2 linked regions of the Rattus norvegicus genome follow. The protein of the gene in region 2 purifies or fractionates together with the protein of the main gene of each other region. This does not show direct contact. Links are inferred from orthologs where the notes say so. Each region holds a gene or a part of one and is shown on either strand. Other genes may lie near its edges.

What was found.
Region 1: the proteins of Rexo4 (region 2) and Rrs1 purify together in Homo sapiens (co-immunoprecipitation; 3 studies listed by BioGRID and IntAct, with this or other methods). This does not show direct contact. The link is inferred for Rattus norvegicus from reciprocal best matches to the Homo sapiens genes REXO4 and RRS1.

The regions. Positions count from the first base shown.
Region 1 is NC_086023.1:14,515,621-14,519,301, forward strand, and holds Rrs1 (ribosome biogenesis regulatory protein homolog), read right to left. Parts: upstream 2,317-3,681; 5' UTR 2,228-2,316; coding exon 1,130-2,227; 3' UTR 683-1,129; downstream 1-682. UniProt on the Homo sapiens protein: Involved in ribosomal large subunit assembly. May regulate the localization of the 5S RNP/5S ribonucleoprotein particle to the nucleolus.
Region 2 is NC_086021.1:30,678,903-30,682,713, forward strand, and holds part of Rexo4 (RNA exonuclease 4), read right to left. Parts: intron 2,757-3,811; coding exon 2,682-2,756; intron 1,917-2,681; coding exon 1,842-1,916; intron 1,000-1,841; coding exon 880-999; 3' UTR 1-879.

The sequences.
Region 1 (3,681 bases), on a different chromosome or scaffold from region 2:
TTGATAACGTTCTCATGGATACTTAGAACTATGAACTGGCAGGGCTCCCCAGTGGAAAGGTTCAGTAAAGATGGCCAAGGCCTGTGAACCTAATTAGAACTTTTACCCAAAGTCATTAACAATCGGTATTTCCATTAGTTGCTATGAAACAAGTTGAGCTTTTCTTGCATTTTCCTAAAAGTAACTCCGCCCTGACAGACCAACTTGGTTAACAGAAAACACCCCTCCCTCACTCAATTCTAGATTTCCAATTCATAATTTACAAAAATAATGCAAGTATTCAAGTATTAATACTTATGCAAAGATAAGTTTATTAAGATTAAAAAAATAACATCCAGGACAGAAATAACCATGGAATCTGCTGGGTGTAGCCTCTCCTTTATAATCTCAGCACTTGGCCTGAGTGAGTTCCAGGCAGCCTTGGCTCCATAGAGAATTCCAGCCTAGCATTTGCTAAAAACTAAAACCCAAGCCAATTAAACAAAAGCCATCAGCTACAAACAAAATGACAACCATTTTCTGGAGTAACAAGGTTAATTACCATCATTTAGTGTGGTTCCAAATTATTGGCCAAATGCACCACCTGAACCAACATCAAGAAGCACCATACTTTAATTATAGTTAGTGCCAAAAGAATGTTTGAGTTTTCCTAATACCAGGGGTCATTTATAACCATTTTAACTTTTTTTTTTTTTTTTTTGCAAGCACACACGTATTGGTACCCATGTCACTGGCTTCACATATAACTTCTACCGGCAAACTTGTAAATTTCCCCCTTCTTCCTGCTTTGATAAATATACAAGCTTTATTACCAAAATAATGCAAAAATGCTGAAACCAGTCTACTATAACCTAGAAATTTGATCAACCTTTACCCAGCATCCAAAGTCAAGATAAAAAGGCAGGCATTAACTTATTCCTGGTTCTGACCACAGTATTTCTGTAATTCTCATAATCTCAAAACACACCAACCAGTCAGTGTCTCCATTAATTCGTAGTCCAGCACTGACTCGAGGGGAGGCAAACCTGCCCGTTCAATGTCAAGCTCATTGAGGACAGCGGCCACCTCCTGAACCAGCCTACAGCAAGTACGGTTCTAGCTTTTCAGAAGAGGTCCAGAGGGGAGAGCACTACTTTCTCCTCTTCCCTCCATGGTGCGGCACTCCTTTCTTCTTGCCACCTAAGGCAGGTGGCCTGGAATGCTTCTTGCCTCCCAAGACTCCTTTCCTTTTCTCTCCCTGACTCGGTGGACCGCCCTTTCTCCTGCCCGAAGGTCCTTGCCGGCCCCCTTTTTTCTTGCCTTTCTGGCTCATTTTCCTCCTCTTGGCAGCCTCCTCTTGGTCCTCTTCCCTCATCTGCTTGTTGGTGGCCCTCGTCACGTCCAGCTGAGGTTTCTTGCTGTTCATGACTCGAAGTAGCTCCAGTTGGTTTTTTTTCTCGGCTGCAAAGTCCCCAAAGAGGGGCTGAAACTTCCTCTTCTTGCCGGAGCCCCGGGGCGCTTTCTCCTTGGGGAGGCGCTCCTGGAAGCGTCCCACAGAAGCGGTGGAGACCTTGGCCACTTGCATGGCGCGGCCCAGCTCCTCCTTACTCTGGTGTCCCGTAGGGTGCAGGCCGGCTGAGCTGGGCATCTGCATCTTGTGCGCGCGGGCCAGGTTCCGCAGTCGGTTCAGCTCGTTCTTGGCCACGCGTTCTTTCTTAGCCCGAATCCTCTTGGCGAACTGGTCTTCCATGGGGTCTGCGCTCCCAGGCACCTCGATCAGCCACTCCTTAGTGTCATCTCGGGCACGTTTGTAGCCCCAACGGCGTCGCCACTGGCCACTCACCTCGTCCCACACGAGGTTGGTCTTCTTCTTGGGACGGATGCCCTTAAGGCGCGCGAACTGCTGCCAGCGGGTGAGCGGTCGTGGCCGGGGCAGCGGCTTCTCGCGGGGCAGGCGTGTGGCGGGCTCAGGCAAGCGCGCTACCACCGCCTCCTCCACGCGCTCGGTTGGCAGCTGCCATAGTTGGTTGACAAGAAGCTGCGTGTTGTCCCGCGCCAGGGCCCGCAGCTCGGCCTCCGGCGAGGGTCCGGCCTGGCGCAGCACCGTCGGGGGGTTGCGGTCCGAAGCCAGCAGGTTGCCCAGGTCGAACTCCAGCTCCAGCTCCTTGTGCACCGTGATGCGCTGCAGCTTCTCCGCCTCCTCCTGCTTCGCTTTGGCCAGCAGCTCCTCCACACTCTGCCCCTCCATGGCTCTCGCCGGCTCCGTTCCCTCACTTTGGGGCTGCAGCGGAATGCTTTGCTACTATGGCAGAGCCCAAAAACCAGCCACCACGTGCGGACGTCCGGACTCGTAATCCGGAAGAGAAAAGCTCACTTCCGGGAACCTGCTCTCAACTGGGCGGTGAGGGAAGGACCGGCAGAGGGCGGCATTGGAGAGCAGATGGGCTTAGAGGCGGGACTTGGACTCGTAACCGGATGTTGGCTAGACTGGCGCTGAAGGTTGGCTGAATGAAGACTAACAAGCGCAAGGCCTGGTTGGGACTACGTTTCCCAGCATGCCGCGGGGTAGGGGCGGTCGCTGTAGGAAGCGGGCTGCTCAAACTCTTGGAACTGCAGGCGGGCGTTGTAGTTTCCAGATGGAGTTTACACAACAGTACTTGAGGGTAAATCTATTACAGAAGTGTATGGACGACACAAATTATTTCCCCAGAGTTATATAGTCCGTTTTCTGTACTCTAGGTGTGAGCGGAGAGAGATCCCACACAGATCCACAGGAATAGAAAATTGGGCAGGGCGCAGGGCGCAGGGCACAGGGCACAGGGCAGGGGGCAAGGCAGGGGGCAGGGGCAGGGCAGGGAGCAGGGAAGGGGGCAGGACAGGGCAGAGGGCAGGGCAGGGTAGGGGGCAGGGCGCAGGGGGCAGGGCAGGTGGCAGGGGGCAGGGCACTGCAGCCCCAGCCCTCGGCCAGCCCTCGGCCAGCCCTCGGCCAGCCCTCGGCCAGCCCTCGGCCAGCCCTCGGCCAGCCCTCGGCCAGCCCTCGGCCAGCCCTCGCCCAGCCCTCGCCCAGCCCTCGCCCAGCCCTCGCCCAGCCCTCGCCCAGCCCTCGCCCAGCCCTCGCCCAGCCCTCGCCCAGCCCACTACACATGGTTACTTTGATCAGTGCAACCAGTACTTAAAGGGATTTCATCAGTCTTTAAAAATCACATTAACTTAGATTTACTTTTTAAAACATGAAACTAAATAACTTATTTGTCGTGCTGTCACACATATATGGCGGTCAGAGGAGAAATTTCTTAAAGTTCTGCGAATTGAACTGAGGTTGTCAGGATTGGGAGCAAATGCTGAGCAAATGTCAGGATTGGGAGCAAATGGGAGCAAGCAAGTGAGCCTCCTTCTTGGCCCTTGCTTTCTCAATGGTGCTCAATTTCATCTCCTTCTGGGAATTATGGTAGGAATTATTAAGGATGATTCAGCCACATTTTAGATCTGCAGTTAACATTTTATTTTCACTCTCAATATTTTTGTTCAAGAAATCCAGAACACCAGTTAATTTGATAAAATATTAGCTAGGGGCACTTAAACCACTTAACTCACCTTCACATGGTTCAATTTTACTGATTCGTGATTTTCTGTTGAAAGTATTTCAATGAGGAGTTTTTAACACATTTCACACAAATGCATAAGGGGTGTGTGTGTGTGTGT
Region 2 (3,811 bases):
CCCTGGGTTCGGTCCCCAGCTCCGAAAAAAAGAAAAGAAAAGAAAAGAAAAGAAAGGGAAAAAAAAAAAAGCAGACATCTGCCATTATATGCATGACTGCACCTGTTCTAAGAGTTGTCACATAAACCCATGAAGTTCACTGGTCATTCTGTACTTGTTGCTAGCCAGAAAAGCTGTTGGCAGGACAGTGGGAAGATGGCCTTTCTGCTTAAACTTTTCCAGGTGGTAGATAGGGTCTTAGACCTCTGGGTGTACCTGTGCCCCAAGGCTCACGCCAAGGACTACTTGGAGAACACCATACTGGACTTTGACATCTTAGGCCAAGCAAAGGACATAGGAGTGAGAAAGTACCTTCAGCAGAGTAGCTTTAAGAACATCCTCAATGGGCAGTTGCTGGGCTGCCAGACTGGTTTGCAGCAAACTGAACGCCCTTAGCCTGGATCCCTTAGATCCAGCAGAGCTTTTCCCCTTACCTGCAAGAGAAGACGCTTCTTGCTCCTTAAGGGAAGGTGCTGAGTGCTCTGGCGGAAACCAGCTCTGCTCTTTGTGAAGTGGTAGCACAGGCGGTCAGCAGACACAGGCTCTGCAGCACACTCACCCATTCCAATGATGCTCTCTCTCCTCCGAACCTACACCCCTGACTCCTGCCCTGTATCTGACCAGTCTACGTCAACACACAAGTGCAGGACCAGTCCCTAGTAGTCCAAGAGGAAGTTCTAGTAGCTCACATGCCACAGGCCTGCAGCCATGGCTCTGAGAACGCTCACCAGAGACAGAGTCCCTGCTAAGCAGAGACTTGATAGGCTTCATAACCCCATCCCACTGCCCCTGGATCGAGGAGTCACTGCAGGACAGGGTGGCGGCGACAGCAGGATGGTGCTAAGCATACTCGTTGCAGTGGTGTGGAGTGGCGGCTGGGGCACGCCGGTCTGCAGCAATGCTCTCCCATTTCCGTTTTACCATGATGTAAAGCCTCATTGCTGCTTGGGCATCTTGGACCTGGGGGACAGAAGCATTGTTGACCACCCAGCTAGCGAGAACACATGACTACAGGCCACAGAAGTAACCCTACAACTATTGAGTCTTCATGCTAGCCACGGCACTGAGGCTGCAAAGCCAAGAGAGACACGAACCTCCCTGTATGACTATGGTAGGGCAGTGAAGGAGAAAACCATACAAAAGAAATGGTTGTAGCAGAACCTGAAGCTAACTCTTGTGCTTCAGACTCAGCCACTGTTTATAGGGGCAGAAAGAGAAACTCCATAGCAGGAGGAACCTGGAGCTTCACAGCAGACACAGCTGAGACATGCACAAGGGCTCAGAGTCAGAGGCTACCACAGGGGAACCTGCTCTCCTGAAGCAGACTGCCTGGCCAGAAGACCCTCAAGTCACAAAGTCCTAAAGCACCTGTGCTAGGGTTTGGAAAGGTCCCCCCTGCCCCCCAGGTTATCAGTGTGGCAATGTAGGGTAGTGGGACCTTTCAGAGCTGGGGTCTAGTGGGAGGTCAGATGGCACTAGAAACACAAGGTAATCCCCGGGGCGCCAATCAGTTCTGCCAAGAGTGACCTGTTTCTCCTTCCTCCTTGGCATTTCTCCAATCAGCTAAGCCTCATTACCATGACATCCCCAACCTCAGGTCAGTAACGGGAAGTATAAAGTCTTCAACTGCTCCAAATCTTTACAGTATTTGACTCTTTGCATTGAGTTCAAGTTAAATGCAAATATTTAAGATACAACAACATTCTGTAAGCCTGCTCTGCCTGGGGTCCTTTCCTGTTTCTATGGTCAAGTGAGACATCCCTAGGTGTTAGCGTCAGATGTCATCGCCCATCGATACTTACTGAACAATGCTCTGCCTGTTGGACCCTGAGCCCCAGAATTTTCTCAGAAAGTTGTTTCAGAGACGGCCGTGCACTCTGTAGAGGAAAGAACACCACAATGTGCTGCTTCCATAGGCTTTGCCAAGGAGGACACAATGGCTCCTAAGCACACCCAAGTGACCTACAGTCTTCCTTTCACCAGGAGTAATTGTGGCACTTACCGCCGTGACCACCAACCTGCTATGGCTTACAACATTGCTCAGCAGCCAGTAGAGGAGCTGGGGGTCAGCAATATTCCAAGTGGTAGAGGAGTGCTTTAATTATTGTGGTTTTGGGGTTTTTTTTGTTTTTTTTTTTTTTTTAAAGATAGGGTTTCTTGTAGCCCTGGCTGTCTTGGGACTTGCTCTGTAGACCAGGCTGGCTTCAAACTCATCCGCCTGCCTTCGCTTCCTTAGTGCTAGAATTAAAGGTGTGTGCCACTACACCTGACTTAATTTTTTTTCTAGTTCTTATTTGTTATACAGAGGTATGTATAGCTGCACGTTGGCATATGCACATGATTGCAGGGCCTGAGAAAGCTAGAGATGCCAGGGTTCCTGGAACTGGAGTTGCAGGGATTGTGAGTAACCTGACACAAGTGCTGAGAATTGAACTCAGGTCCTCTGCAAGAGTAGCACTGAACCATGTCTGAGGACAACCTCTTCTGCCTTCACAGCTGTTCCAGGGATGAAAACCAGGTTGCCAGACTTCTGTGACAAGCGCTCTTATTAAAGATTAAAATGAGAAAAATAAACTGAATCCCTTTAGCCAGGCGGTCAGTGCCAGGAACTAGTCATGGCCCACGACTCATTCATTACATACCTTTACTAGACTCCTGAACGGTTTGAATTTTTGGGTGTCCCTGATTTTCTTTTTCGGATGTTCAAGGAACAGAACCTAGAAGAAAATGACAACTATCTCCATTTCAGTCTGCAACAATGCCCCCCTTTCCAGATACCACCTCACAGGGCACCACAGGGTATTAACGCTCAGAAAAAAGCAGTTTCCCAAATTAATTAACTGACCTAAGGTGATGCCCACTACGCAGAACCATGTTAACAAGAATAAAATCCTGGCCGGGTGTGTGGCGCACACTTTGAATCCTAGTGCTGTGGAGGCGGAGGCAGGTGACAAGCTAAGACCACACAGTGAGACCCTGTCTCAAAAACAAAAGTAAAATCTGGACACCAATGATGTTGAGAAAAAGTCAGCCGGCCACCGACTTCTCTGAGCTGATTGTTCCTGGGGAAATAAGTCATGAAAATCAACAGCTCGTCCTGCAGTGTAACAGCTTCTAGACTCATACAGTCCAAAGAAGTGACCACTAGAGGAGGCAGGTGTGGCCCTGGTGGCAGTCTTCTCTAAGGTGACTCATTATATCAGTGAGCAGGTGGCTTTGGTTAATTTTTAATTGTTGACCATTTGTTATTTCCTTTCTTGGTACAGGGATGAAACCCAGGGCCTGATACACATGAAGCACACATCCTGCCACTGAGCTAACACACAGCTCTAGCCCTGAATATTTGAATGGGAATTAAACTCCCATCTAGAGGTTCCTCAAACACATGAATCCAGTGACACTACAGTCACATCGAGGAAGGGCAATGTCCACTGTCTAATCGCAGACATCTAAAAGGGCAGAAGCTAGATGTCACATGACCTAGCACTGGGCAGTCATGTGAGCTCAATCACCTACTGGCTGGTTGTGTGGCCAGCCTGTAAAGGTTGGACCGGCTGGAATGGCACCCCGAGGAGACACATGCCTATCCAGTTCCTTTCCTATAAACACAGCGGAAGCAGCAGCAACATGCAACTCAGAAACTCGGGGTGCTGAGGAGCAGTGGGGGAGTCATCTGGATGCACACCCACTGCTCTCCTAAAACCTGCTCCCAACACCCTAAAACTCAGCTCTGCTACCCATCAAGTTTCTTCCTCAAAGGATTAAACACCAT